Caenorhabditis elegans: one gene and its partner. The protein of the gene in region 2 purifies or fractionates together with the protein of the main gene of each other region. This does not show direct contact. Each region holds a gene or a part of one and is shown on either strand. Other genes may lie near its edges. The genes, in order: T13F3.6 and C36C5.12.

Region 1 (16,062 bases), about 13 Mb from region 2:
ATTTTTAATTTTTCAATTCAACAACGATAAAACATTTAAAAAAATAAATGTATCGGCGGCTAGTTTTAAACCTAGCTTTCAGAAATTCAAAAGAATCGCGATCTAGATTCTTCCCCCACTCCAACTGACCAGAATAATTGTATCCCTAGTGATGTACTGCATGATGACGGAATTTTGATTAAAGACATTCGAGGTCTTTTCAAACAATTTGTAAGTTTATAATTATGTTTAAAACTTGCCGACAATTGTTATTTCCAGAATCCACATAATGCTTCAGAAGGCTGTTCAAAGTTGGAAAAACTCACGGAAGGTCTGCAGTTTATCAGGAGAAATCAAGAGAGGGAGTGCATAAAGGTGAAATGTTTTCTTTCAAAATCAAAGTTTATATTTCCAATTTATTTTAGATAATCGATGAAATGGATTCAGAAAGCTTGAAAGATGTACAATTTAAAGTTATCGGTTCATGTGCTACATGGCTACTTTTTTCTTCGTTTTTCCAGAAGCTTGAGGAAAATGAAAAAGTAGTAATTTTGGAAAGGTTGTGGCATGGATGGACAGTTCTCGAATTTTTGAGTAGATCACTTGAAATTTTCGGAAACAAAGTTATTGATGAAAAGGTAAAATTGATTTTAATTCAACAATTAAAAATTTTTTTTTCTAATATTAGGGTTATACAACTATGTTTCCCTAGATCACCATTTCTCAGAAAAACAAATTTGCAGATAGTTTTCATCTCGGACAACACTGCAATTCGCCTTATCACTGCATTTGAAAACTCTTTAAAGACAGCAAGCCCGAAGAAAAGTGAATCGATTAAGAAGAAGCTGGAATTGTCATTTTCAGTAATATTTGATGAATTAGCACTACATTTCATAAATTGGAAGCCGACTGAAATTGAAATTTCGTATATGCAGTGGCAAATAGTTTGGAGTGTAGCAGGTGAGACTTGCAGAACGTTTCCGAAAAAAATTAAGAATTGTTTTATTTAGAACAATTACTTTCTGGAAATTCTCTGGAAAAGGGGGAACATTTCACCGAGCAACTATCCAAGGATCTTCATGAATATTACGTGCGAGAGCTGAAACTGGAAAATTACGCTTTTCGGATTGAGAAAATGATGGATATTGTTCAGATTGTGCAGAATAATTTTTATTAATCTTATTTATCTTTGTCTATCATTTTATTCAACAATAATTAACTGAATGTAATGCTTAATCTAAAATCGAAAATTTTTGGAACAGATGTTTAATCATATGGCCGATCTAGATTTCGACTAGGCGCACAACCTTGAAAGGGCATTTTTCCAAAGAAAAACCTGTCCTCTCGAGGTTTCGTGAATTACCATAAAAATTGAAAGCAACCAACTCATGATTAAAAAACTAGGACGCACGTTTTCTATAGGGTCCCTGAGTTTTAAATAATTTCACTAAAAATCTTGATTTTCCATATAGAAAAACCAGCCGCGCAAAGCGCGTGCTCCGACTGGCGCACACTAAATTGCTCAAATAAATTTTAAAGTGCTAATGTAAAATTTTTGTACAGTTACACATTTCCTTGGAGTTTTGCGGACTTTTAAGAAAATTTTAAAACTTTCCAGATTTTTCTTTAAAAAGTTGTAGACCTTTCCAGGACTTTTTAGAAAATTCTTTAAGCGCTTTGAGAATTTAATCAAAAAATTTTTCTAGGTGCCAGAAGCTTTCAGTTCAATCAAAAAAAAACTGACCTTCAGACATATAAATGACTACATTTTTTAATTGGGAGATTTATTTAGTTTTCATTATTGAAAAATTAATATCTGACTTAAAATGAATTTTTTTGAAAATAATTTTTCGGGACTTGTTTCAAATTTTAAGCGTTTTCAGAATTCACGAATCAAAAAATCGAAAATTTTGGAACTTTGGGTTAGGTGAAGAACGGATCGGCTAAGTATTCCAAGAAAACGTGTAAGTTGAACAACTTTGGTTAGAACATTTCTTAAGTTAATGAAATTCTTGACTTTTTGTCTTTGTCTTTTTCATCAGCATACAGTTACTTTTCACCTACACTTTACAAAACATTTAGTCGGATTTAGACTAGCTCACGGCGCAATCTGTGATCCTTTGAATTACTGTGGAAAATACAAAGTAAATATTTCCCACAGCTGACTAGTTGAAATTGTACGTTTTAGACAAATTTGTTTGACAAATTTGTCGAAGCTCGTGAAACTTGCCAAATTTTCCGCACACATCAAAAATTTGACAATATAATTTTGGCCAAAACTAGTGATTTTGTCGAAAAATTAGTAAAATGACACTAAATTTAGTTATTTTGATGTTTATGCATTAAAACAAATTTATTTAATTTCAGTCGACATCCAATCGTTTATTCAAGTCTGCTGAAGTCGCACTTGCCAACAACATCTTCAGATAGCTTTATCATTTTCTGAAAATGAGCACACTTTTTCAGAGGAAGAACAACTTTTTTCCTAATTAGGTACCTTACGAAACGTATTCCATTCTTCTTGGCCGCATCTTTCAATAATTTCCTTTTTAACGCAGTCATCTTTTCCGAAATATGTATCACAAGCATTTTCTTTCATTTTCTCAACTTTCATCTTGTCATCTTCTAAATATATTTCATTTGGCAATGGATTCCAGTTTTGAACACATTCTGCATTTTTTTCATGCAATTTGTCAAAACAATTAGAAAAATCTTCGGTGAGGAACACAATAGCTTTGCACACCCATTCAATTGAACGAAGCCTTTTGTCTAGCTGGTTATTGGAGCCTGGCCTACATGGAAGAGCTGTAAAGCAATCTTGTAGATCACCGCAATCTGTCTTGAAATTCTTGATATCTTTTTCATCATTAAAATCGAGAGTTTCGAATTTCATTTGGAAGGAGAGTAAGTTCTGTAAATTAATTCGTTTGTTCGTCAATGCAATCTAACAAGAAAAAATGTTTGAATTAATTTGTCAATTAACTACAAAACTTCAGCTGCATAAGAGAACTTCAAACTAGAAAAAGTCAAACTGAAATTATTTTTTTTTTTAATTTTGAGTGAGCTTACCAAGTGACACGAAAGTGATGGTTTTCTGTCAGCATCAGGGCATTATTGAGGACCTATCACAACATCCTGTCTGGTGAATACCACTTTCCAAATGCCGCATCAACTGGGAGGAAGGCTCGCTCGCCCAGATATCCGTACATGATGTGCCCTTGTGGATCAATCAACGAAAGCTTCCTACTAGTCAATCTTCACCTATGGAACCGTATGGCCAAGTTACTTCCGGAGACAATGAGCCGTCAAATGTTTGCTTCACGATTAAATTCTATCCCGTTTAATTATTTTTCCCACCCAACTTGATCCCCTTAACTACTTCTGGTTTAAAGGATCATTCAAATTATTCAAGTTTGTTTCTCCCGGTGATTATTCTACACTTTTCTGTTTTGTTACGACGTTTTGAATAAATATATACATATATATATATATATAATCTCTGACCGAGGTGCGGAGGTTTGAGACATCTAGTTCACAAAAATTAATGATTTAGAAACATTTCATGGAAAACTTGTTAATTTTTTTTTAATTGGAAGTGTTTTCAAAGCAATGAAAATCCTTCCGGAATAATAAATTCGTTTTTTCTATAACATTGTGTTTGAATGTTTTAAAATATTTTTTTAAGTTTTTCAAATCCTACAATTAGCAGATGTTTGCCAGGGAAGTACATAGTAAATAGGAATATAATTATTTTCAAAAAATAATGATTTCCTTCGGTACTTAAAACATTCAACAGTTATTGTATTTGTTCTTGAACATTTTTATCGTTGAAAGGCATCCAGAACCTCTTTCAATATGAAGTCTATGTCTCATGACCTCTGAAAATCTTTCTGATACTCTGACATGACAGTACATAAAATTCGTTAAATAAGTTTTTAAACGATGAAATAGATAGAAATTTTAATTCAGATTTCGCTATAATTATTGGAAAACAATTAACACAAATTTCATGTAATAATTTGCTATTTATTATTTTACTTACTCAAAGATTCATTTTTCAGCACAAACCTGAAACATTTTTCGGCGCGTGAATCGAGGTACTAGCACAACAAAAAAGCAGATAAAAAATAAACACAGCATGAAAATTGCGATTATCATTCTCTGATAATCGTTACAAAATTCTGGTCTTAAATTTGTGGCCTGCTTCACATATTCTTCCTGGATTTTTCCCGATTTGTCATCACACAATTTTTTGATATTTTCCTTGATACATGGTTGAAGGTTGTCCCATTGATCGCATACATCTACTTCCGGCTGAAATTATCGAAAAAATTGCGGGAAATTTCAATTTTCTAAAAAAACACTTTGGCTGAAAATTTCAGCTTTCTAAAAAGTAGTGTTTAACATAAAGCTCATATGTTTTGAAAAACTTTGCTGGAAAAATAAACTTCCAGAAACTTCTAAAACGTTTATGGGAAACTAGAGAAATCTCGAAAATCAGTAGTTCTCGGGAAACTTTTGGAAGGATCGGGGAACGGGGAAAAAGTGTAACTGGTAAAACACTTGGGGTAAAAATGTTTTGGAAGATCCCAAACTGTAAATAAGTTAGAAATATGAATATGTATATAAATTTGTAATTATGTTTTTTAAATTAAAAATTAGACATTTGAAAAATTCAATAAACTACACTTTTTTACAAAAAAACGTTTGCTCACCTCGTGAATATCATTGAAAAGTGTGTTGAGACATGGAATATTGTCGTCTTTCTTGGCTATCAGCTTTTCAGCACATGTTGAAAATTCGCGATTGTAGAAAATATAAAACAGGCAAGGGCGAATTTTGGTCGTCAAACTTTTCAAGTGTGAAGAACCCACCGCTTCTAGACAGTTCTGAAAAATTAATTTTAGTCATATTTTTCTGTTTTTGAAATAAAAATTCACTATAATTTCTTCACATTTATCAGCGTAACCTTCGTATATCTCTGGTGGCCAGAAATACCGATTGGTAACGTTTATTGATTTGACTATCGGGTCCAAGTCTGAAGCAATCTGGAATTTCATTCATTTATGAGCATTTCAATTTCATACAAACTCACATTATTACAGTCATCAAGAGTAACTGCAAGCGTAAACGTTTGGCTGGAGATTAGAAGTTGAAGTTTTAAAGTTAATCAAACGGAAAATGATAAATTTGAACATTTTTTTAAGGTAAACTTGTGTTTCTTGGCGGTTTTTTTTATAACTTTTTGTTGATTGGTTTTTCATTGAACTACTGTTCAGTCACAGAAAATTATTTATCAATTTTTAAAAATGTATATTTGCTTATTCATCAATCTAGAAAAAACTGAGCTAATTTTTAAAAAAAATTGCGTGGTATTGGAACAAAAGTAGCAAAAATGGTTCAGTAGAAAAATATATACTCTTTGACAATTTTCATAATTGAAGTTGTATGTTTTTTACGCTACTTTTTCTTTCATTCCAAACTTGATATTTTTCGTATTTCAAAAAAAATTAGATTTTTTTGAAGGCTAAAAAACAATTCATGTTGCACTAGGTTACAAACGAGGGAAGGGGTATGCGAGGAATGGAACAAATTACGAGTATGAAAAACTAAATGTTCATTAAGTTTCGGAACAAGAAAAAAATTCATGGTGACTGCAAATTAACCATGTTTTACAATCGTTTGTCCACAAAAAGTCACCATCATCGTCTGTGTAATCCGATTTGAATACTTTTGCGATTTCCGATGGGGTTGCGTTTGATGCTCGAAAATTGATATTGCAAATCTCAAATGTACTTCTGTTCAGAACGTTCTGAAATGCGTTTTTGCAGAAGAAACAAAACACTATGTATTGCATAAACTTACATCTCGAATTTGAATTGCGTCTTGTAGCAAAAACTTATCCAATGTGAGCGTGAAGTGCTCAAAATGAAACATATGCATAGTTTGATTGTTTTCCATCGGGACTAAGCTATAATATGTAAAGCTTTTTGCGTTTTTCCATTGATCCAAATCTCTAATCCTATCAAATCCGTCAGCTGATTTGAAAAAATACAATTCGATTTCTTCTACAACTTGAGCATTCAAATATGGAAAAATTGGCAGTACGTCGTCGATTGAGCAATGAGAAAACTTGATACTCTTGAGATGAACCCTACCGTTTTGTTTCATAACGTCTAGAAGACGTAGCCCATTGTCTTGAATACTTTTGTCTTCGAGAAATTCAAATTTTGATATAGGATTCTTTAATAAAAGTTGCAAATCATTGAAGGCTAAGTTGATGAAGTTTTCGCCTTGAATAATCTTTTTTTGTTCGTTGTAAATTACATATGTACTGGCATTTGGAGCATCAATGTATTTGATTTCTGTTCCGTTCAATTGAATGTGTGCTTCTCTAGACAAAATATGGAAGGTGATGGAATAAAAATGAGTTCCCAGCTTATCCACCGACGTTTTCAAACATTTGCACACTTTTCGGGATGTCAGTCTGGAATATAAGAATTTTCGCCGATAGTTGAAAATTGGTTTATAGAACATGATTTTTTTTTAAATTTAATTAGCAGCATTTTCAGATTTCTCTTTTAATTACTTTTTTTGTTACTTTTTGTTACACTCCCTCTGCCGCCTATATTTCAATAGTTCCATCAGTAAAAAGAATGTTACAGAAAACTTCAATTTCTAGAAAATCAATCTTAAATTATATTGCACCACTTTTGGGACACAAAAATGACTCACTGATATATGGGCTCAAGTTTCTCCAAAATTTGGTTAGCGACTTCCAGAGGCATATTGAGCAAAGTCGGATGCTTTTGGTTGTTGGACATTATTGAACGCATTAAATTTTCAGAATAATTGCTGAAAATCACCAGATGAATACAAAAAGTATGCAGACTGAATTAAAATTTAAAGTTTCGTAATACATAATGTATCTTCGGCAAAAGTTGTTCGTTAATGTAGAGGGTTAGTGAAAAAAAATATCGTATTTGTTGTTGAGAGACTTAGACGCGTCAAGTTTGTTGGCAGAGAACGAGTACTCCAAGTGAAAAACTGTTTGTCTGTTTGTTTTCTCTCTCTCTCTCTCTTATTTTTTTGTCTTGTAGATTTCGAATCAGTAGTAAGTCTATTTAATGTCTAAAGAGTCATAGGTTGAGTTATCAATACTTATATATTTAAAAATACAGTGCATAGTTTGTAGTCTATGTAGTCTTTGTAGTCTGCGTTGTTTTGGCTTATGAAGGGATATTGATTTTTAATCTCCAATAAAAATTCGGCCATTTTTATGCCTGAAAGCCAGTTTTTTTGATTGAACTGGAAGCTTCCGGCACCTAGAAAATTTTTGTAGTTAGAATCTCAAAGCGCTTAAAAAATTTGAAAAAAATCTTGAAAGTCCTAGAATTTCTTGAAAGTCCGCAAAACTCCAGGAAAATGTATGACTGTACAAAAATGTTACATTAGCACTTTAAAATTTATTAAAACAATTTAGCGTACGCCAGTCGGAGCACGCGCCTTGCGCGTGCGAACGGCTGGTATATCAATAAAAAAAACGAATAAATAATAAAGCGCAAAATGCGCGGAAAACTTATTTGAAATCTAAAATAGTTTTATTCAACATTTTACTATTAGTCACAAAATTCTGGTCTTAAATTAGCGGTTTGTTTTACATATTGTTCCTGAATTTTTCCTGATTGGTCATCACACAAATTTGCGATATTTTCCTTAATGCATGGTTGAAGACTGTCCCATTGATCGCACTCATCTACTTCTGGCTGAAAATTTCAATTTTGTGAGAACAATCGAATATTTGAAATTAAAAAGTATGAGCTTTCATGGTAGACAGGCGCGGTTACAGGCCCAAAAACCTGCCGGCTTCACACCTCAATTCTGCATTCTTGCTTGAAACAAAAGTTCGCGCTCGACACTTTTTGAGCTCCGCGCAGCACTATAGGACGCGGATTGCGGTGTGAGGCAGGCGAAGGAAGGCGAGGCAGGCGCTGCAGGCGTCTCGGAGCCTGCATGATTACAGTTTTGCATACCTCGTGAACATCATTGAAAAGTGTGTTGAGGCATGAAATATTGTCATCTTTCTTCGCGATCAGCTTTTTGGCGCAATTTGAGAAGTCGCGATTGTAGAAAATATAGAATAGGCAAGGGCTCACTTTGGTTGAGAACTTGTCTAGTAGGGAAGCGTCCACCGATTTTACACAATTCTGAAATTTTGCCATTGTTCCGTTCTTAATTTTTGAAAAAATATTACTATAATTTCTTCACATTTATCTGCGTAAGCTTTGTATGTCTCCGGTGGCCAGAAAAATCGGTCTGTAACATTTATCGACTTGATGATTGGCTCCAAGCCTAGACCAATCTAAAAATTTAATGAATTTACAAAAAATCTCACTATTAGTATTAGGCATACTTACAGTTTTACAATCATCCATTGTAGCTGCTGTCGCAAAAATTGGAAGACCAATTACCAAGATAAAACCAAAAGAAATCATGGTTTATTTTTCATTTTACAAATGGTGGAGACCCATTTTATACTGCTATCATCTACTGATCAACACAATTTTTTGAAACTAGATTTTGTGTAATGTCTGATAAGTGTTCGCAGTTCGATTGAAGATTGAAAGTTAAAGTTTGATAGTTGATCGAAATCGTATCAAACAGTGTCCCAATAAAGCAATTTCTTCAAAATTTATCTCTCTCACAATCAATAAAATTTAAACTTTAAAATTAAAATGTTTTTTTCACGGAAACTTTTAAATATCAATTTTCAAATATTAAATATTAGTGTTAACGTGAAGAAATAGGGCAGTGGAACATAGGGGCAGCCGACGAAATTAGTTTTACAAAAATAAATCAATACTGGATTTGTACAGCAAGATTCTGTTGGACCGGAATTCAAATCCCCGATTGCCAATTATTGAAATGATCAGTGAGTTGGAAATTTTTCGCAAAATTTCAATCAATAATTCGGTTTCAGATTTAATCTGGTTTCCACAGCTTCTACAATTGATCATATGGATGTCTGTATTGACTGGTGAGTTGCTTTTGTGCAGCCTACAAAGTGCGGGTTTTTTAAGCAAATCCTTTTGAAATTGAAGTGAAAATGCGCTCCATCGCCAAATAGGGAGCTTCATATTATGGGTCCCGTTAAGTCCGAAAAAGTTGAACGATTCAATTATTTTCGCCAATTGAAAAAACATTTTCAGCATCTCTCCATTTGTGTAAGAAGAAGGGCAAAGCCAAGCCAAAGGCAAAAGTCCGTGAGATGTCAACAGTGAAGATGACGACAACGACTGGTCTCACCACGAACAATGTGAACATTGGAAATCCAGCGCCTGAGGAGAAGAAAAAAGAGGAAAAGGTGGAGAAGAAACCGGAGGAAAACAAGGAAGCAGAGAAGAAGGATGAGCCGAAGAAGGAAGAGGAAAAGAAGGAAGAGGAGAAGAAAAAAGAGGAGAAGAAGGAAGAGGAGAAGAAGGAGGAAGTGAAGGAGGAGGAGAAGAAAGATGATTCAAAACGAGATGAGAAAAAGAAGGATGGAGAAAAGAAGGAAGATGATGAAAACAAAGAGGATAATGAAAAGAAAAAAGAAGAGAAGAAGGAGGACGAGAAGCCCAAGAAGGAGGAAATCGTGCCACAAGAGCAAAAGTACACGGACAAAGAGCAAGCAATCGCTGATGGAGTCAAGAAGAAGAGGACGGACTATCCGACTATGGAGGATGTGGCGAGTGATTGGGACGATAGCAAGAAGAAGAAGAAGAAGGATGATGATAAGGAGTAATGGGAAGATCTGGATTATCTGTGAACTCTTTTTTTGCAATGTATGTGGTATTTTGAAAAAGTAAAGATTGATGAAAATTTGGGGTGGGCTTCTCCACCCATCGAAGTATACATTAATTGCGGACTTTATGCAATTTTGAGCAGAATTTCAACTATGTACAGTCCAAGATAAATATATTAACAAATAGCTTCATTAGCTGAATTCCAGATCACATCACAAAAAAGTTATTCCGCCTTCTCTCCCATTGGCTGGTTGTTCTTGAAAAGCTCATTTTTCGATCTGTACTGTACTTGCATATCCTTGTCCACTTGATCCGCTTGATCAATGTCCGAGATAAGGGGAATCGCGAATTCGGAAATTCTCCACGTCTTGATGAATTGGATGAGGGCGAAGATGACGTAGGCGGTGGCGGTGTGAATTACAAAGCAGAAGGCTGTCAGGGTGTGCGCGTCTGTTATCAATTTCTGGAAACAAAATAGATAGGCAAGCATGATGATAGGTAAGCAGGTAGGCTCAAAACAATCAATGGACAGGTATAATGTGGCATGGGTATGCACAATTGTAGGTAGGCAGGCAGGCATGGTAGGTAGGCAGGCATGTGCGTACGTGAGCATTTAAAGGTTCGAAAGTCGGTAGAATGTTATGATGTTGATACACAGGTAGGCAGGTAGACATAACGCAAGCACGTAGTTAGACAGTTGTAAAGCAGGGGTACGCACTCGTACAGGTAGGCTGTGTTTGAAAATACTATTTGTTACCTGCCTGCACTTGCCTATCTATCTAGATGGACACCATGCCTACTTACAAGGTCGCATCAGGTTTTGATGCCTACGCCCTCTGCCTGCCTCATTCTCACCCTAAAAAACCAAATACAAATCTTGCTCTATAATCGTACCAATTGAACACTTGGTGGTACGGTTGCAATCAAATTCAGTGTGATCTTGATTCCATCGGTAAACGAGACGTCTTGCCAGCGTGAGGCGGAGATGGTAGCTGAAAATCATTACTATATATAAAGCGCTATTCCGTATGTCTCTGACGTCACAAATGACGTCACAACATTCAGCGCTGGAAATTATTTTAGAAAATTTTGAGGCTACTTATGATGAATACGCACCCGACATCGATCGAGGTACGCGATAAACCACTCAACACTTTTCAAAAACATCTTGATGGGAATTCAAATTTTAATTTTTGAAAACATTTTGGCGGGAATTCAAATTTCAATTTTTGAAAACATTTTGGCGGGAATTCAAATTTTAATTTTTGAAAAAATTTTGGCGGGAATTCAAATTTTAATTTTTGAAAACATTTTGGCGGGAATTCAAATTGGAATTTTTTTGAAAACATTTGGCGGGAATTCAAATTTTAATTTTTTGAAAACATTATTCTGGAATGTTCCAGAACCTTCTGGAAAATTCGAAAAAAAGCGACCATTCGTGGTGAGACCCGTCGTGGTGAGACCTTTCGTGGTGAGACCCATCGTGGTGAGGCCTTTCGTGGTGAGACCCGTCGTGGTGAGACCCTTCGTGGCGAGACCCATCGTGGTGAGACCCATTGTGGTGAGACCCATCGTGGTGAGACCCATTGTGGTGAGACCTTTCATGGTGAGACCCATCGTGGTGAGACCCTTCGTGGTGAGACCCTTCGTGATGAGACCCTTCGTGGTGAGACCCTTCGTGGTGAGACCCATCGTGGTGAGACCCTTCGTGGCGAGACCCATTGTGGTGAGACCTTTCGTGGTGAGACCCATCGTGGTGAGACCCTTCGTGGTGAGACCCATCGTGGTGAGACCCATCGTGGTGAGACCTTTCGTGGTGAGACCCGTCGTGGTGAGACCTTTCGTGGTGAGACCAATCGTGGTGAGACCCATCGTGGTGAGACCCTTCGTGGTGAGACCTTTCGTGGTGAGACCCATCGCAGTGAAAAATTTTGGCGGGAATTCAAATATTAATTTTTTGAAAACATTTTGGCGGGAATCCTATTTAGTGTTCAAAAAGTGAAGATTTTCACCTTTTTCCATGAGATACTTTTGTAGGATCAATTGATGATTTATGTGTCAAACATGTCAAATTTTGCCAGTCGGCTGGTAGTTTCATATTATTTCTTCCTGGAAATCACAATCTTCCAACTCACTTAAAAAGAAGCTCAGCACAAAGTAGGCGCAAGCCACAATCAGTGAAGCGATCACATTAACTCTCAACATCTTATTCCTCCCAACAGTCCACGCTTCGTATTTTTTCTGCCGAATGCATATTTTCAGGATATTGGTGACGATTGAGTGAAGCGCAGAGACACTACAACCGACTGCAAATGTTGTGGAAATGGGAAAAATCGATCGAAAAACTGTATCGATAATTTTAGTAGACGGCTTGTAGAAGACAAGCGTGTGATCGTCGTTGAGCTGGAGAGCATGCTGGTACATTCGGATGAAGCTAAACATTTTTGGATCTTCTTAAACATTTATAGATATAAGCCTACGTGGAACACTTGGACCACATGAATGTATACGCAGGCTCGACCAGAAGAGTTTTGTTCAGGAATCCAGATATGATACCGTAGACATCACTTGAAGCCAATGAATACTTGGAGCTGTAGATTTGAGCCGAGGCTGATGAGGTTTGAAGTCGCTGTTTTTCGAATTCCACGTCAGCGGCGATTTTCTCGAAATTCTTCTGCTCTGCTTTCCATTCACTGTTGTACTCGAATCTGTTAAAAACGTGTCTCAGGCATTTCAAAAACAAAAAAAAAAGAAGCTTACAGGGAAAAACCATAAATCAGTACTGCATAAAATGCCGCAACACAAATTAATAGTACTACTGGTCCAAGTGTACTCCGCAATAGCCGACGACCATCGGATATTTTGGGCATTTCGAATATAGAAATTTGGAATTCAGTGGAGAAGTAGCTTCAGAAAAAAATGTTGCGGGGAGAGGAAAACAGGAGGCCGCATGAATTTTATGTCGACGGTTGCTTGGTAAGTTGCGAGGAGACCTGAGCAAAATTGCAGGCCTTGGAGACCGGAATATAGCAGAAAAAAAAACATGTTTTGATGGCAATTTTTATAATTATTGATACAAATATTTTATTTGTCTCTGTTGGCTCTACTGCCGCTTCTAAAAAAACTTCTCAAAAAAGCCTTCTGATCCATATGCGATATTCCAGAATCAACATAAACGCAATTAGGTCCATAGGCATGTAAGAATGTAGGCAAGTAGGTAGGCACGGAGGGGAGCCCTGTTGCCCTGTTACTTCCCTGTTTTGTTGTGTGCCCTTCATATTATCGACATGCGTTATCCCCATTGGATAAATCTATGGATAAACCCAATGGTTTTAATAGTATAAATATCATCATTATTGTTCCTGCTACTCAAGATCCAGTTAATACTCGTGAAGTCGGTTCTCTCAAGCGCAATGTCGATTGCATGGCTTTCAGTCCAAACTCGAATCCAACAATTTTCACTTTTTATATCTGTGATCTTAAATTCAATTTTGGTATATTTAATCCTAAAATTCTCTCCAAAAAAAATTGGATCTTACAAATATCTGATGATTTATATTTCCTTATTTCAAATTTTTTACTCAATTATGGATAGTATATCCTTACCGGTATATTTCTAAATTTTTTAAGTTTTCTTATTCCTACTTTCAGACCTATCACGCTTATTCGTCAGTTTTACTAGTTTTTAAAAACATTCGGGACCAACCCTACATTCCCATTTCCGTTCACTATTGGCTTTTGGTAGTGTATTCAGGATGCTATGGATTTTGTATGGGAATATTTGGAATTCACTTCTTCTATAGGTATTTGGCGATTTATGGGTAAAGCTTAACTGGAGGGTCAGATAAATATCTAAATTCCTCGAATTTCAGACATACTGAAATGATTAGAAAGTTAGTTTGCATATTGTTCTTAGTTCCTCCACTATTCGGAATTATCTGGAGCTTTATTGTAGCAATATGTTTTGGGCCCACTTCAGAAGTTAGTGCAGAAGTTGAGAATAGTATTCTGGAATCTTATGACTTGAAAATTGACGATATAGTTTATATCGCTGCATTTGTTTGGCCGAGAAATGAGACTACTGGAGTGAAATATCTCAATAAAAGATCCGCAATTGGAATTGGTTTTGATCAGTTAGTTGTGGTACAGTATAGATGTAATCTAAATTTTTTTCAATACTTCAAATTTCAGATTATCTCACTTACTGTTATTGCATATTGTGGGACATGTTGCTACTATAAAATACAACAGCAAATGAGGGTTGCAATTTCTTTGAGCAAAATTACGAAAAACCTACATCGTCAACTGTTCTACGCTTTGGCAATCCAGGTTTGACGCAGCTCAAAACTCTAAATTTACAAAACTACAGTAATCCTTCAGTACCCCATCAGTACCACTACATTTCCTTGGCTTCAAAACCGCCAATCCCGAACACACATTTTTCTAAACGACAGTAATCCTATAAAACTATTTCAATACTCCTACAGTAACCCTAAAGTAGTCCTACAGCCCTTCGATACTATCCCCACCAAACACGATAATGCTTCTACAAAAAGCAGAAACCCAGTTGCCGGTTGCCGCAGTTTATAGCGTTCGCCAACTTCGGCAGTTGCCGATATCAATGTCAAACATTTTTTATCTCGGAAAAAAACATTCAGAGAGCCTAAAAATGATAGCATTTCACTGTAAAAACGACTGTTCTTTATTCCAAAACGCTCTAAAATATGTATAATTTCAACAAAAATATATGTTTGACCAACGTCAAAACTTCAAAACCTGGTTGCCGGTTGCCGAAATTTTTAGGGTTCGGCAACTTCGGCAATTGTCGATTACCCCACAGCCCTCACCTATAGTACCCCCACAGTACCCCTTCAGTCCTCCTACAGTACCGGTGCATTAATTGGATCACATACTAAACTTAATTCTTTTCAGACCGCAATACCAATGCTTCTCCTCCATCTTCCCGTTTCTATACTCTTCATGTTTCCAATTATGGATTCAAACTTGGGGATTTTTACCGGCTTCGTCACAATCACGATTGCCGCCTACCCGGCAATTGACCCTCTACCAACTATGCTTGTCATTGAGAGCTATCGAAGTGCAGTTTACAATTTCATTAACAAAATATTCTGCAGAAAGAAGAACGATGTGAGATCAGAGAATGAAATATCCATGACAACTATTCACGTGACAGTATAAATCTGTATTTTTATAATTTAAATAAAAACTGTGAATCCGATTTCATAGTACGGAATATGTAGTTGCTATGCGTCCGCTTCTTTGGACCGTCCCCAATTTGTGCCCTGCTCATTGTGTTACCACAAGCTTTTCTCATTTTAATTTTCACTTTTTTCTTCTGTTTTTTTTCGAAAGTGAGTTGAGCCCCTTATACCCACTTTTGATTGATATCTATGATTAAAAACGTGCTCACTCTCTAAAATTAGGTTTATTCTCATAAATAATCTAATTGTTTTCTGTTTTTGATGTTTTCCAATAAACAATACTACAAAAGACTCACAATCAGTTTTCTGCCACTGCTATACTAAACGTTTTTATCAGTTTCAAGTCTTATATGGTGCTAATCACTATTTCTGACCAGTCACTAAATTTCACTTTGCAACAATAAAAACAAAATGTGCATCACATGTGTGAACGACATGTGTAGTCTTTGATAAAAAACTAGAGTTCATTAGTGCTATTATAATTGTATTTATAATTGTGCTCCGTTTCGATTTTGAAACTAGTTTTTGAAATTGAAATTAAAAAATGCACTTCTTAAATATTGCAACAATATTTTTGATTACAATTTTCCTATTCTACTACAAACTTATCTATAATTTTATCCGCGATCGCCTCAGAATCTACAAATATATGAGAAAATTCGATGGACCTTATTCCTTTCCAATTATTGGTACTTTATACATGGTGAATATCTTTGATATTTCAAAATTTACAACCCAATCCATGGAATTGGCTCAATACTATTGCCAAAAAGGTTGTGGTACCATTGGACTCTGGCTGGGGCCTGTACCTTTAATTGCTGTTATCAATCCGCAGCACGCGAAGGAAATATTGGAGTCTAATGAGGTTATCACAAAAGCTGAGGAATATGATATTTTATTCCCATGGCTTGGAACGGGACTATTGACGTCGACAGGTAAGAAATTTTATAATAAATATTTAAAAAGGCTTGTCGAATTTTTGGAAAAATTAAAATTTGAATTTCCCACAAATTTTTTTGTGAATTTTTTCATTTTAACTTTCCGCAAAATGTTTTATCTAAAACTTTAAATTTGAA
Region 2 (16,147 bases):
TTTAACAACGTTGACATGACTAAACAAGCTAAGACTATATTTCCTTGTAAAAAATCAATTCATTCAAATTTTCAATAACATGTTAGGGTTGGCGTATTAAATAACAAAAATTGTGAAAAAATTTAATTCCAAGACTTATTAAAATTCTCAAAATAATTATTCTGGTCTGCACTCATATGGACTTCCAGCTCCTTTTTCAGCCGAACTTTGTTTACTTGAGCCTTCTTCAACAATGCCACAATTGAAATAATGGCATATAAGGGGTAGGAGCCACTCCCTGAAAATTATTGTTTTCCCAAAACTTTATATTTTTCAGTTTTACTGTTTCATCAAAATTGAAATGTTTTTTTCTTCAGATATTTGATGTTTTACAAAAACTGTGTGCTTACACAACTATAATTAGGAAATCAGATACATACATTGTCATGAAACATCATAACACCGTATATTTTATGACTCACATTCAAGTAGAGCCAAGTAAGTAGAAGATTCAAGTTCTGCGCCAAATTTCAATAAGAATAGAAAAAACATAATATGGATAACTTGAAATCCAGTTTGTAAATTTGCAAATAGTTTCAATGTTCTCATAGACTTTAGGTTTTGCTCCAAAGAATATCGATTTGACAATGAACATGTGATTTGTTTTGCCCGGAGCCTCTAAAATTAGAGTATACAGCTTATACCTTTTTAGTGAACACCTACATACCTCATTCAAGTTAAACAAGTACTGAAAAATAACTCTTCCAACTATTTGAGCAAGGAGGATAATATGGAAAATCACTTCGACGTTAGTAACAAATCCCTGCTTGATAGCTGTGCAGTAGGGCATAAAAGGTTCCTTGAATGGAAATATTAAGAATGCATAATAAGTTGTCATAGTTGCAATTGAAAACTTAAATTTTTCAAAAAAGTTTTAAAATTTTCGAAGAACTGGGTTTACCTGCTTAATAGCCATATAAATCCCCAACGCACACCCAGTTTGTTCATATTTTGACGATTTAATTGTTGCAATATATCTTTCAATTACCAGTGGAATTGTAGTTGCTCCAACTAAACATAGGCCAAATACATATTGAACGCGGAGCACAAAACATCGAGTTGTGCTTGCAGGCATGTCACAGTAGTCAAGGATCAGGTAGTTGTGAAGGTCAATGGTGTGAAGCACTATTCTGGAATCAGAATTGGAATGCATTGCATATTTAGACCACTTGCGTGTCTTTTGGAGTGTCAAAAAATTTGGCAATTATCGAGAACACAAATTTCGAATAAAATACTCAAAAAGCAGTAATAAACTATTTTTACTGTAGTAAATTTTTTCTTTCTCAACTCGTAAAAACCTGAAAATTTTAAAATTTTTTCGATAATTTTAGTTTTTGTTGGTTGCCGGATTGTTGAACCGCCAGGAATTTGAATTGCCAAAAACTAGTAATATTAGAAATACCTTTTTTAATAGGTTTATATTAAGTGTTTAAATGTTGTGGAATTTTTTCAGTTCCAAAAAAACTAAAATTATTAAAATTATTAAACCATTCGTTTTACGAATTTTAATTGTTGAGTTATAGTAACATCACAAAAATTATAACCTGTTCGAGCAATGCAAAAAAAATCCGAACCAATGAACTTGAAATATAATTATTACATTGACGTGGAATAATCTTGCAACTTGCGCAGTCCATAAACTATAACTCGCTACAATAACCATTGTTAAAGCCAAAAGACTAGATGCAAGTTGAAATGTTATAGTGAATCGGAGGAATATGGACGAAGACAGGGATTCCATTATTTTGCATTGTTCCTGATATGGTGTCATCTGAAATATTTGGAAAATTTTTTTGGAGCCCTAGCATTAAATAAATGCATGCTCCTGAAATGCATAAAGTATTGCTAAAAATAAATTTTTTTCCAAATTAAATATTTTAAAATAAAAAAAAATTGAGATTCATGAAAAGTTCTCGTAGAAAAGTTTTGGCTGAAAACAAAAAAAAAGCACACATAGAAATTTTTCTGAGAGATGTGCTAATGAGTTGGGAATCAGAAAGCCATAATACTATGAAATATAGTATTGTGACCTCATCTTTTAAAATTTGATAAAAACATCCATCGAAACATGAGTCAAAATTTGTTTGCGTGATTGGTTTTTTGGAAGGCCCAAACTCCCAGGGGGCAAAAAATTAGGGGGCATCGTGTTCTTAGGGGGCATTTACTCCAAGGGGGCATCACTCATAGGGGGCATTAGGGGTCAATGTTCTTAGGGGGCATTTTCAAAAGTCTCAAAGGGGGCAAAGTTTTAAATGAGTATTTGTTAAGGATACGATTTTTAATGATTTGTCAAAAATGGAATTCGGCCTTAAATACTAATTAAACACTTTGAAATGGAAAAATTATGATGTTTTATTTGTCTTGTTTATTAACAATATTTTGAAAAGTGTATGTTTTCGGTGGGCAACTTGTTATATTTGTATCTTTACAGTCATCCAAGATAGTTGTTCAAAAGTTTTAGATACTACAGAAAATAGTTTTTAAACAATTTTGGATGTGCTCTCACGAAAAATTAATGGAATTGTCAAGAGCGGGGATGTAGACATAATACATTCCAAAATCTTATAGCTCCGTTCGTGTGTGATATAAGAAAAAGTGGTCAACTGAAAAGTCGTCACCCTGTATAGTAATCAGCAAATTATTAGTTTAAACTTTTTGTCTATATTGGATGACTGTAAAGATACAAATATAACAAGTTGCCCACCGAAAAAATGCACTTTTCAAAATATTGTTAATAAACAAGACAAATAAAACATCATAATTTTTCCATTTCAAAGTGTTTAATTAGTATTTAAGGCCGAATTCCATTTTTGACAAATCATTAAAAATCGTATCCTTAACAAATACTCATTTAAAACTTTGCCCCCTTTGAGACTTTTGAAAATGCCCCCTAAGAACATTGACCCCTAATGCCCCCTATGAGTGATGCCCCCTTGGAGTAAATGCCCCCTAAGAACACGATGCCCCCTCATTTTTTGCCCCCTGGGAGTTTGGGCCTTTTTGGAACGAATTCTAAATTCTAAAATTTCAAAATTGCTATATAATCATAGTTTGTCTGAATTGTTTTTTTTTTAACTTTTTCAGCAGGTGGTGTTATAGGGGAAATTACAAGATCAAACCACTTGGAGTTCAGCTTTTTTGCTACTCGATTTATGTTTTTAATTTGAAATTAAAATGCAAAACTATGCGGTTTGTAAATAATTTTGCTTTTGAAAGAAAACTAAAATAAATGTTTAAAAAATTTTGAACATTTTTTATGTAGCTTGTAACAAATGTTTTTTCTTACTACAATTACTATAAGTCTCAGCCCAATTTCGGCATGGAAGCAGAAAAAAAATTGCTCATTTTCAGGCAAGTTTCAGATTTTTCCAGATTCTCTGGCCAGCAGTCCTGGGAGCTCGGTGGGTCCGTTCCTCCTAGTACTACTTACGATAGAGTCTTAATTTTCACTTCCTGGTTCAGTTTTTAAAGAAACCGATGAATGTTTCTCAAAAGATCATCAACAACTGTCGAAACAAACTTTTAGAACTTTATCCCTTCAAACGTTACACACTTTTTTTCCGCCTTTCGACATGAACAGTTGCTACTCTGTTCAGAATAGTTCCCCGGCTCGAGTCGACAGGATCTCATGTTGTCTATTTTTTCGTTTATTTTCAAGCTCGGCTCTATGTATGTAGTTTGTTTTTTCAGGAGATGAAGCTCGTCCTCTTACTAGTCACCATTGGTATATTGTCCCTGGATTTGGTTCAAGGTGTAAAAGTTAACCTAGTACCTTTGGGAAACATGGTCAATTGTACTCTGTCTGTTGAATTCCATTCGATTGGCTGTATCATGGTTTGTTTTTATATGAATACTTTTTTTAGTAATATTTAGTGTTTTTTCAGCGTTTAGGCGAGTTTTTCGATGATCTTGATAAACTTGAGCTGGACGATAAGGCGGAAGTAGTCAAATTTTCAAAGTCCTGCGAAACTATCCCCACCTGCTTTGAAACTCCGCAGTGTACACCAAAGGGTATCGCACCAGAGGAGAAAAAGGAAATGGTCAAAAAAATCAAAAACTATTGTAGCGGGGTTTCCTATATCGCCAACGACTTTGAAGAATGCCGTGATAAACTTGCGGAGAACAAATGTTACAAAGATTGGGACCCGTTCCAGAGAAAGTTCAATCTGGAAAAGGATGAGAAGAAAAAAGAACAAATGCGTGAAGATTCTTGCAAGAATTATTTTGGAGAAGACAACTGTATGAAGACGGTGGTTACTGAAACATGTGGTGAATCCGATTGGGCCAAACTTCGCGACGTAAGTATTCCGGGGGAATTTAGAGAAAACAATTTTTATTAAATTTCAGCACTTCGTGGGAATCGGCAACAATATTTTGAGCGAATGCGGCTTCAGCAAAACTGATTGAATAACTTTATAATTTTGATTTACTTTCTGATTTTAATTCGATAAATAAAATTTTACCATTTCGATCAGAAAGTTATTCTATTCGGAACGTTCTGCGCCGATTCAATCGTTTCAGACTTTCGGAGTTGCTCCAAATCGAAAAATTGAAATAACTATGTAGTTTTGCCATTGGTACTAGTACCTGCAGTCGAGTACACCATACCAAACAAAAAAACAAAAAAAATTACATTAGTTTATATAATTCTATTGTCGAAAAAGTAACAGCTTCTGACATCCGGCAGGTTTGTAATGCCATGTGACACAAAACTGAAACTAGGTGTTTTCATGAAGATGTCTTCTTTTTCCAAAGTGTTGTTCTGTCACAAAGTGAGCAGGATATTTTATAAAATACCTTGATTGGCGGTTTTTTCGCGGTACGGCTCACGGCACGAGGCAGGCGGAGGTCGCCGCAGGCATTTTGGCGCCTGCATGGAATTTTTCCACCAACATTTTTGGCCGCTAGATAATTTTTTCTCACGATCAAAGTTGGTTTTGCAATAAATCCTGTTCTCTCTGAAAAAAATCCTGAAAGCATATTTTGCTGCTAAAAAATGTTCCTGCATCAAAACTAATTCATTAATATTTTGTCATCAGAATTATAATTATCCAAGTCTGCTGAAGTCACACTTGCTAACCAAATCGGAGGAAAGATTGATGAACTGCTGAAAATGAATGAATTTTCCAAAAAATAAGTCTTTACTTGTTACTTACCTCACGAAATTTATCCCATTCTTTTTGGCTACACGTTTCGACAATCTCCTTCTTCATGCAGTCATCTTTCCCGAAATATCTCTTGCAAGTCTCTTTTTTCATTTTCTCAACCTTCTTTTCGTCTTCTTCTAGATGAATTCCATCTGGAATCGGGTCCCAGTTGTCGAAACAAACTGATTTTTTCGCAGTAAGTTTATCACTACAATCGGAAAAATCTTCGTGGATGTACACAACAGCTTCGCAATTTTTTTCGACCATTCGGAACAACTCTGCTTCGTCCATTGTGGAATTTGGCCCACAGCGGGTAATGGCAAAACAATTTTTTAGAGAATCGCAAGTTTTCTTGAATTCCTTCAGTTCACTTTTCTTATCCATGTCGAGTTCATCTACTTTTGCTGCGAAGTCGCGAAGACGCTAAATTCCAAATTTGAGAACTAGATAAATTTCAAGTTGTTAAAAAATTCACTTACCTCAATACAAAGGAATGTTTGAATGGCAGATCGCAACTCACAATAAGTTTCTTTCTCGGCAGCAGTTAGATTTGCTCCGTGAGCCACTCCCAAAAGCACAGTACCAATGATGGCAAGCTTGAGAAAACTTGTCATTTCCTGTAACAAAAAATGTAATCACATTTTCAATAAAAGTGGAAAATTGAAAAAAACTGTGCCGGAGAGTTTTCACTGATGTGAGCTACCTTGTTTATAAATGTTTCAAAAGATGATACAGAACACTGTGACAACTGGCGTAGATCTTCAAATATATCTTTAAAGAGAATGTGGATTGCACGTTTGTTTCACAAAATCAAATGTACAAACATCCTGATGGAACTCAATCCAGGAATTTTTAACATCGAGACGTCCCATGATTACACAAAAAAACGTAAGATAGCAAGTTGGACAGTGGACAGTAAGAAGCCCAACAAGAGTTGGAGCATTTCATTCAATCAAGGAAAGCGTTTGAGCTCGCGAGTAGACTTCCAGTGAGGGATTTTGTCTAAATGCACTTATTAAAGGATTAAAGGATTAAAGGACGATCCGTTCTTCAAGTGCTATGCACTGCGGATCTGGGATTCAGGTACATTGCCTGGTGGTGATCCCTCTGGGCTGTAATTTAAGCCACGTCCTAGCCGGGGACTGTGGCCGATAATCCAGTCGTGGATTGCTCCACTTCCCAATAGAGGCTGGGTGAACCTAGGGGGTGAGGCCGGACTTGAACTCGTGACCTCCAGACAGCTAGCGGCCACCACCACAGTTAAATCGCGGGGTATACATTGTGTGTTTTGAGGCATAAATCGGGCATTAGCGAAGCGCAAACGCACGCAATGTGTACATCGCGAAAAATTGGACAACTTTCGCGATGTATACATCATGCATTCACAATGTCACAAGTGGAACGGTGCCTACTAATTGGAAAAAACTGTCATTGAAATCTCAATTTTTCAATTACCTTTTAAGAGTACCCCGTACGATTTGAATCTTCAAATCCGAACAATCATGAGGGTCCCCTTATTATCAGATTCTCCAGCTTCAAAATATCATAAGGGTCCTCCCTTATGGTTGAAAAATTTTTGAGTAAAATTTTTTTCCAAGAATTTTTCAAAAAGTGTTTAACTTTGTAGAATACCTCAATTTAGGTAGTTGCTCCAAGTTTGGACATTCATTTTACGATCTCAGTCGAATAGTGACCAAAACTAGAGTTGATTGAGCTGACAGACGTATTACTTTCAATGGCTTATAACTCTGGTGGCGTTTGAATTAATAAAATGTGTTCAACTGAAAAGTTGTTGGTAATAATGTGAAAAACATTTTGGTAGTTGGTACCTTTTTGTTATCTTCAATGACTGTGGAGATGTGAGCCCCAAAAGATGACCAAAATATTCTAGATCTGTTCTTAACTATATCTCGGTTCTCGATAAAGATGAAGGGATAATTACAATTACAAAAACGTTCACTGTTTTAAGCTTAACAAGATTATAGTTGGGTACTTTTTGATACCTCGCCTCTAGAAATAGATAAATCTGTTTTAATACAGGTGTTTTAATACAAAAAAAACCTAGGGGTTATACTGCCTCAGGTTTTTGTCTGAAATTGTGTTCAGAACATCTAAATTGAACAAAACAGCAAACATTGCTATTTTCTATAACATCTAATTAAAATTTCAAAAATTTTCAAAAGAAAATGTTCGAAAAAAAATGAAAATTTTTGTAAGGACCCTTTGGATTTTTTTTATGACAAAGTGATCAACTACAAAGTTGTTTATTTTAATCTAAAATACTATTTTGTAGTTGATCGTTTTTTATCAAAAAATTTGAGGGTCGAGATAAAGTTGTGTTAAGTGCAGCAACTTCATGCTTGAATTTTCTTTATCTTTTTCTGCTCATATATCGACTATTAAATTTTTTGATGAAAAACAATCAACTGCAATATTGTAATGTAGATCAAGATAAACAACTTTGTAGTTGATCACTTGGTAATAAAAATTTTGTTCACGAAGATGTAAGCATCCAAAGTGAACTCCATTTTTGAACGTAGGAGTTCTGCTATACCCCTGGTTTTCATCTGAAGTCGTCCTCTGAACATCCAAACTAAAAAAAAACTAACAACTATTATATTTTTCTATAACATCTGATCAAATTTTGAAAAGTTAAAAAAAAAAAATTTCGAAAAAATTTTTTGAAATTTTTCATAACCTTTGGATTTTCGTTTCGAAAAAGTCAAAAATTTTTTTTTCAAATATTATCTAATATTCATTAGGTATTGTAGAAATAAGTTTATTTTGTCGTATCTATGAACTTTCTTACCAAATTCGGTGCTCTCGATTAGTAAAACCGACATTCCTTGGAGCTTTGAACCATGATCTCTCCTGTATTAAAACAGATTTATCTATTTCTAGAGGCGAGGTATCAAAAAGTACCCAACTATAATCTTGTTAAGCTTAAAACAGTGAACGTTTTTGTAATTGTAATTATCCCTTCATCTTTATCGAGAACCGAGATATAGTTAAGAACAGATCTAGAATATTTTGGTCATCTTTTGGGGCTCACATCTCCACAGTCATTGAAGATAACAAAAAGGTACCAACTACCAAAATGTTTTTCACATTATTACCAACAACTTTTTAGTTGAACACATTTTATTAATTCAAACGCCACCAGAGTTATAAGCCATTGAAAGTAATACGTCTGTCAGCTCAATCAACTCTAGTTTTGGTCACTATTCGACTGAGATCGTAAAATGAATGTCCAAACTTGGAGCAACTACCTAAATTGAGGTGTTCTACAAAGTTAAAGTAGTCTCTTAATACATTCAGATGGGCTTGGGCCGTTACTGCCGCGTTATTGATTGACTTGTCCCGAACGAGAATGGACGTGTCGTCCGCATACTGGATGATTTCTGTCCCATTTCCGGATGGAGTGTTTATCGTATAGAATGAGAAGAGGGAAGGGCTAGATACCGCTCCTTGAGGCACACCGCCTCGGAGAGTTTTCCATCTGGACCAGCGACCGTCGTACAGTGTCCTTATGCGTCTTTTGTGTATATAGCCTGTAATCCAACGGATCAATTTCGGCTCAGCTTTTGTTTGAGCCAGTTCTACGAAAAGCTTATCGTGGCAGACTGTGTCGAAAGCGGCCTTCAGATCGAGACTTATCAGGATTGACCGTTCGGCAGGTCTCTTGCCATTTAGTCCGCCAGTGATAAAGTTCAAGGTTTCAGTGATCGCTGTCGTCGTGGAATGCAGCTTTTTGAACCCGTGCTGGCTTGGTGGCAATTTGATGTGTAGTAGATTTTTCAGAGCCGGTGATTGAGACATGTGATGAACCATTGTAGTGGTACTTTGTTGAGTGCTCCTCGTGGCGAGCCGCATAGCAGAATTGGTCGGCAGGGTCGGTGGTCTGCTGCGGGGGGTGACGGCTCTCGTGTGAGTTCCGGCGCAGTTCACGCAGTAGAAGCCTGTGCCTGTATATATTCTCATGTTCACTTTCGAGCATCTGATGTGGGTCCATTTGTCGCAGTTGGTATTCGTGCAGCCGAGACTGCTCGTGGCCGCGTTCTTGCCACAGACTGGGCACGGCCATGACTTTTTCGGGGGACCCGGGTTCATCACGACATCTCCGTGTGTCCTGCGCAGTAGCCTTTTCAGAAAATTGGCGTGTCTGAGGGATGTGATTACAGGCGGGGAGTTCCCTCCACTCCTCGCCTTATCCAAAACATTGTTTGGTGTGATACTCTTCGAGTACAAGGGACGCCCACAGAGTCCGTTCTGTGGTGTTTGGGGGGTAGCAATGGAGTTGTCTCCTCTGTTTGATCATTGGAGGGAGAGTGACATTCCAATCCAGAAATGCCATGTTGGATTATATTTGCTCCAAATTTTATTAGAAAATCCATATTGGAATAGATTTGTTCCATAATGGATTAGATTTCAGCCATATTTGATTAGAAAATCCATATTGGATTAGAATAGGGAGCCTATTAATTATGTCCCCATTATATTTGGTTGAAATCTAATTAGACGACTAAGCGTTTGTCTGAGAGGCGGCGACGGCCCCTTGCATTCCAATCCATGATTCGATTGCTCAAGGTTCTTCTCCAAAACGAAGTTTTTTTTTTCAACTTCGGTGCAAGTTGAGCGTCGGATACATTTTAAAGCTTACAGCATTAGTTTCAAGTCTATTGAACGAAATTCGTGCGATGAAATCAGTATTTAACTCGTTGCAAACTCATATGCAAATGTGCGCGGATGGCTTCACAGGTAACGGCTTGGGTTTATAAACATTAGGGTAGAGGGTGCGCTGGTTCGGGTCCGTGGGGTTGTTAGAAATTTCTGATCAGTGTGAGTGAAACGAAATGGGCAGTGGGAATGACCAGTGAGAAAAATGTGAAAAGTTTTTTTTTTTTTGTGAAAAAATTCCTCATGCCACACATAATGTATACATCGCGAACACATTTGTGGGTTCGCGATGAACGCATAATGTACACATGATGTACACATCGCGAATAGGTGTTCGCGATGTGTACATTGTGTGTACATTATGCCTATGTTCCGAGGTACTTGAATTGTGCCATCGCGAAGCATTTTTTATACACAATGTATAATCCGCGATTTAACTGTGTACTACCGACTGAGCTATCTGCCCCCCATGATCCAAAACAACTGAATATCATAATAAAACACTCCAAAAAAATTTAGATTTTTCATAATTTCCGGTCAAAGTTTTGGCAAAGTGCCAAAATTTTGAAAAATATGAGCATTTGAGGAAATTTAAAGAAATGTCACATGTCTCGACCCCTACAATGTTCTAATACAAATAATTTAAACAAAATTAAAACATAAAAAATGTCAAAAAAAAAAAATTTTTTTTGGTCGACTTCCAAAATTATGAGTGGCAAAAACTGAGCAATTGCCACTTTTTGACAGTAAATAAAAAAATTTCAAAAAATTTTTGAAAAGTTTTATCATGATATTGGGTCATTTTAGGACCAAAGGAGTGGTTTTTTACAATTTCCCCACTGGCGCTACTCCACCTTTAAACTGGAGCGTGGCATGATAACTCAATATTTTATGATTTTAGCAAAATTTTACTCGTTATTTTCAAAATTTTGACTTGCCAAAAGATTGTCGATTTCCGCCAGTTTTAGTACACCTATTTATGTCAAACTCCTACAAACTCTACCTTTATGAGTCATTATTAGAACTATTTGATTTTCGTAAACATTTGACCTGAAGCCTGTTTCTGGTCCACTTTTCTATGGTTCAGAGTGCTCCACCGCCGCTATTTGTTTTCTGGTACATGACCTGGCCTAAAATTTACAGCAAAAATAACGAATTGGTGAGCCAAAAATAGCAAAAAAACGGCAAAGTGGCGGCCCGCAGGCGGTACATCTAACGAAGATTTATTTAGAAAACTGGCCTTCACGGTCACCGTTCGTCATTTTTCTGAATGTTGGTGTGAAATCAAAACCTTTGGTTTTTCCGCGGCCGACACTTTCTGGGTTCCTCACCGTGAGTTCAACCGGCGTCCTATTTCAAGATCAGGTAATTCTAAGTTTTTTAGGCAGAAACCCGGATCTATCACATTCCAGTCTACCCCTTGAACATCCATTAAAATTCTCTTTAAAATATCAAAATCTACAAAAATTTATTCAAGCGGAAAAAATAATAATTATTCAAGTCTGCTGAAGTCACACTTGCTGACGAGTCCTCCAGAAAGATGAAGGAAATGCTGAAAAATAGAGAATTAGTAACTTTTCGGTAATGCCAAAATAAAAGTTCACCTTGTGGAGTGAGTCCCATTCTTGTTTGCCGCAAGTTTCCGTAACCTCCTGTTTCATGCAGTTATCCTTTCCGAAATATGTCTTGCAAGCGTCATTTTTAATTTTCTCGACCTTTGCCGCATCTTTTTCCGAATGAGTTTTGTTTGGAATTGGGTCCCAGTCATCAAAACATTTCGATTTTTTTGCATTCAGCTTATCACCACATTTGGAAAAACCATCGTAGACATACATCGCAGCATCACAGTAGTTTTTGATGTTCTCAACATATTGTTTCTTTTCATCTTCGCTTTTTGCGGTGCATGTAAGATTGTTCCAGCAGCTTTGAACAGTATCACACGATTTCTTGAAATCTTTCAGTTCATCCTTATCGTTCATATCGAGCTCGTCAACTTCCCCCAGGAAGTCTCTCGTAATCTAAAATTGAAATTTAGAAACAAATATCATAGAAGGTGGAGTACCGAAATCTGAGACTTTAACACTTTTTTAGGCCAGGTAGTGCCTAAAAATGCACAGTCTCAGATTTCGGGTCTCCATTTTTACTACGAATTACTCACCAAAACACATCTAACTGCAGCGTTTGTATCTTTTACAGTGCAGTCTGAACCCTTTGCCGATGCTAGGCTTGCTCCATGAGCCACTCCCAATAGCATAGTACCGATGAGGGCGAGCTTGAGTAAGCCTATCATTTTCTGTAATAAAATTACTATTAAAAATATTGTTAAAAAAGCCGAAACTGAAGGTTCCTACTGTGCTGCCCTGTTTATAAATGTTTCAATGATGATACTGTGACAACTGGCGTGGATCTTCAAATAGATCTTTAAAGAGAGTTTTGTGTAAATGTGGATCGCACGTTTGTTTCACAAAATCCAATGTACACACATCCCAATGCCGGAACTTTTCGACCAAAAGATCTCAAGATTACACAAAAAACATAAGATCGCAAGTTTTTCTGTCTTCTGGATTGCACGGGGGTGGCAGTCAGAACTTTCTGGTGGGCATCTTTTTCTCGAAAATTGCACTTTGAAATTTTGGATTGACAAGGAACTAAACACGAGTTGGAGGAACATACTCTAATAAAGATACATAGTATTTAAGATCGCAACTAAATTTCCAAATAGGTATAGGCTCAGGCTCTGTCTTAGGCTTAGGACTAGGCTTACGCTAAGGCTTAGACAGCAAACCGCGCCTACCTTACATGAAATTCTTAACTCCATTTAGAAGTCTTGTTGTGAGCTAAAATACTTTTCTTGTTAGAATGCGTTCTTCCAACGCTTTCGTGGCTCTGTGCAAGTTTTCATTTGGCGGACTGAGGCGGGCAGATTAGAGACTGGTGTCAGGCCCGGGAACCGCGCCTGCCTTCCACGGAAGCCTACAAAAAAGCATCAGAATGCAATTTTTGATGCACATCAAGCACAATTGCTGGATGCGGAAGTGGAAGAAAACGTGCTACAGTGTAATCTTGAGATCTTTTGGTCTAAAAGCTCCGAAATTGACATTTCTGATCGGCTAAGTAGGCGAGGGTTGGGCTCAAGCAACACACAAAACTGAATTTTTGATGAAACAAACGTGCGAAGCACAATCACACCAATCGTTTTAAAAAGATATTTGAATTTCAATAGTTCAATATCTTCTTTTGAAACGTTTAAAAAACGGGGCAGCCACAGTGGAAGCCTTCAGTTTTTACTTTTTCTCCATATATTTTCTCATCAAATATTGCACAGTTACAGAAAATGCGGCATTTGTTCAAACTTTTTTTGCTTGGAGCACTTCTACTGGCACTCGGAAATGGAGCCCCACAGATTTCGAACAATGAAACAAGTGTCATTGAGTCAGGAGCTGGGAAAAATTGCACCGAAGTCACTTTCAAAACAGTTTTCAGTTGCATTTATGTAAGATTTCAGAAATTAGAAAATGTGTGGTTTAAAAAAAAAGAAAGAATTTCAGAGCTTTGGAAGTTTTATGGCGAAAATGTATTTTTTGGACATGAAGAAACCTTCTAGTCTAAAGAAATTCCGCGACTCGTGCGGTGCGGTTGCCGATTGTATGGAGTCTCTTGAGTGCAGCGATAATGCAGAACTTCCGGCAACGACAACAGTCAAAGATGCTTGTGAGAATATTATCTTCTTAACCTCAGAATTTCTTCCATGCCTAACAAAGCTGGATGAACTGAAACCGGCGCCCGAGTGTGCCAAGGACTGGAACCCATCTCCAGATAAAAATGGAAGTGGTGAAGAGAAGAAGCCAGAAGAATTGTGCACCACCATGTTCGGAAAAGACAATTGCATGAAGAAATTGATCATTGATACTTGTGGAGAGAGTGATTGGCAACTTTTGTTGAATGTGAGTTTTAGATTCATAAGTAACATCATCTGATGAAAAAAATTTCAGCGTTTCAAAGCAGCACCTGTCCTCAAGCAATGTGACTTCAGCGGCCTTTGAAGATACAAAAATGGAGACGACTCTCCTTTGTTATTTACTTAAATTTTTATTGAAATAAAACATTGATAAGAGTTCAGTTCACAGAAATTCAGATTACAGAAAGAGGGGTGTAAATCAAGGACAATATCTGATATTCAAGCCTCAAGCTTCAAGTAGGCTTTTTAAACCCGTGATTTAGACTGATAGTTCACTAGGTAGTGGTGGCCGCTAAAAATCAGGAGGTCACGAGTTCAAGTCCGGCCTCACCCCCTAGGTTCACCCAGCCTCTATTAGGTAGTGGAGCAATCCACGACTGGATTATCGGCCACAGTTCCCGGCTAGGGCATGGCTTAAATTACATCCCACTGGGATCATCATCAGGCAGTGTACCTGGATGTCCGATCCGCAGTGGTCCCCACTCTTTTCATCTCCTCGTGAAAAATCAAGTGACGTCTTTTGCTAAATAAAAATGCTTGGTCGCCGAATATGCAACCTGTCGAATCCAAACTACTTCCCTCTTTTCAGAATATATTTTACGTGCTGATTGAGATTATTTGGTTTTTGCTCAGAGTTTATAATACATACAGAGACACCGAAAAATTTGTGATTAAATGCTGACAATTGTTTTTCCTACGTGGAATACGTAATACCAACTGAAAACCTTTCTCTTCAAAATATCACAATCTACAAAAATTTTATTCAAACGGATAATAAAAACCATTAATCAAGTCTGCTGAAGTCACACTTGCTGACAAGTCCTCGAGAAATCAGTACAAATTGCTGAAAGTTAGAATGTATTTAGTGATAGCAGAATAAAGATGTACCTTGCGGAGGGAGTCCCACTCTTCTTTGCCGCAAGTTTCCGTAACTTCTTTCTTCATGCAGTCATCCTTTCCGAAATATGTCTTACAAGCATCATTCTTAATTTTCTCAATTTTTGCCGCATCTGTTTCCAAATGAGTTTTGTTTGGAATTGGGTCCCAGTCATCATAGCATTGGGATTTTTTTGCATTCAATTTATCACCACATTTGGAAAACTCAAAGTGGACGTACTGAACAGCCTCACAGTAATTTTTGATATTCTCAATATATTGATTCATTGCATCCTTCCTGTTTGCGACGCATGCATAACCGTTCAAACAGCTCAGAGCAGTATCACACGATTTCTTGAATTCTTTTAGTTCATCCTTATCGTTCATGTCGAGCTCATCAATTTCCTTCACGAAGTCTTTCATAATCTAGAATTAGCATTTAAAACAACTTTGAGTACCGAAATCTGAGATGTTGATTCTTCAAACCCAAATTAGCCAAAAACAACTGAAAGTCTCAGATTTCGGGTCTCCATTTTACCTAAGAGTTACTCACCGAACCACACCTAACTACATCATATGTATTTGTCGTAGTGCAGTTCGAGTCCGTCGCCGATGCAGCAGCTAGACTTGCTCCATGAGCCACTCCCAATAACACAGTACCGATGAGGACAAGCTTGAGTAAGTCTGCCATTTTCTGTAATAAAAATATTATGAAATAAGTTGTAAAAAAGCCGAAACTGAAGGCTCCGACTGTGCTGCCCTGTTTATAAATGTTTCAAAAGATGATACTGTGACAACTGGTGTGGATCTTCAAATAGATCTTTAAAGAGAGTTTTGTGTAAGTGTGGATCGCACGTTTGTTTCTCAAAATCCAATGTACACACATCCTGATGGAACTCAATGTCGGAACTTTTAACCCCAAGACGTCCCAAGATTACACTAAAAACGAAAGATAGCAAGTTTTTCTGTCTTCAGGATGGGACCAAGTTAGAAGTCAGAACTTCCTGGTGTGCATCTTTTTCTTAGAATGTGCACTGGGAGGTTTTGGACTGACAAGAAATTAAACGAAAGTTAAAAAACACACTCTAACGAGGAAAATATTTAAGCTCGCGAGAGTAAATCAAGCACAAGATATAACTTTCAAGCCTCAAGCTTCAAACACCCCGTGATGCAGACTGAGCTTGAAAGACCACCAACCCAACCCGGCCGTTTAGCTCTGCGCGACCTGAAATACCTAAAACAATTAGTATTACCTCTAGCTGGTCCCCGCTAAATATATAATGACGTCTCCTGCAAAATTAAAATATTTGGTCGCCGAAAATGCAATCTTTCGAATCCAAACTACTTCCTTTTTTCTACATTTATTTTTACATGCTGATTAAGATTATTTACCATTTGCTCAAAGTTTATAATACATACGCAGACACCGAAAAAAAAAATTATGATTAAA

Evidence for each region.
Region 1: the proteins of C36C5.12 (region 2) and T13F3.6 fractionate together in Caenorhabditis elegans (co-fractionation; one large-scale study listed by BioGRID). This does not show direct contact.

What each region holds. Positions count from the first base shown.
Region 1 is NC_003283.11:16,262,736-16,278,797, forward strand, and holds T13F3.6 (T20D4.11-like domain-containing protein), read right to left. Parts: upstream 8,487-16,062; 5' UTR 8,475-8,486; coding exon 8,397-8,474; exon of another isoform or gene 8,342-8,396; coding exon 8,234-8,341; exon of another isoform or gene 8,187-8,233; coding exon 8,013-8,186; exon of another isoform or gene 7,746-8,012; coding exon 7,599-7,745; 3' UTR 7,565-7,598; downstream 1-7,564. Other genes in the region: Nuclear hormone receptor family member nhr-127, read left to right, coding at 83-210, 259-354, 405-617, 723-939, 990-1,156; T13F3.4 (T20D4.11-like domain-containing protein), read right to left, coding at 2,362-2,421, 2,477-2,872; fbxa-2 (F-box domain-containing protein), read right to left, coding at 5,600-5,791, 5,845-6,466, 6,715-6,803; T13F3.8 (uncharacterized protein), read left to right, coding at 8,905-8,911, 8,960-9,016, 9,189-9,763; pacl-1 (Polycystin-Associated Channel-Like), read right to left, coding at 9,988-10,227, 10,659-10,756, 11,900-12,198, 12,245-12,472, 12,525-12,634; cyp-37B1 (Cytochrome P450), read left to right, coding at 15,531-15,921.
Region 2 is NC_003283.11:3,153,363-3,169,509, forward strand, and holds C36C5.12 (UPF0376 protein C36C5.12), read right to left. Parts: upstream 5,804-16,147; 5' UTR 5,801-5,803; coding exon 5,666-5,800; intron 5,610-5,665; coding exon 5,196-5,609; intron 5,147-5,195; coding exon 5,087-5,146; 3' UTR 5,044-5,086; downstream 1-5,043. Other genes in the region: srab-7 (Serpentine Receptor, class AB (Class A-like)), read right to left, coding at 123-277, 462-657, 707-892, 941-1,169, 1,584-1,810; exh-1 (T20D4.11-like domain-containing protein), read left to right, coding at 3,733-3,873, 3,924-4,337, 4,387-4,446; C36C5.14 (T20D4.11-like domain-containing protein), read right to left, coding at 11,356-11,415, 11,468-11,881, 12,022-12,153; C36C5.4 (T20D4.11-like domain-containing protein), read left to right, coding at 13,198-13,356, 13,412-13,807, 13,856-13,906; C36C5.15 (T20D4.11-like domain-containing protein), read right to left, coding at 14,606-14,665, 14,710-15,123, 15,251-15,388.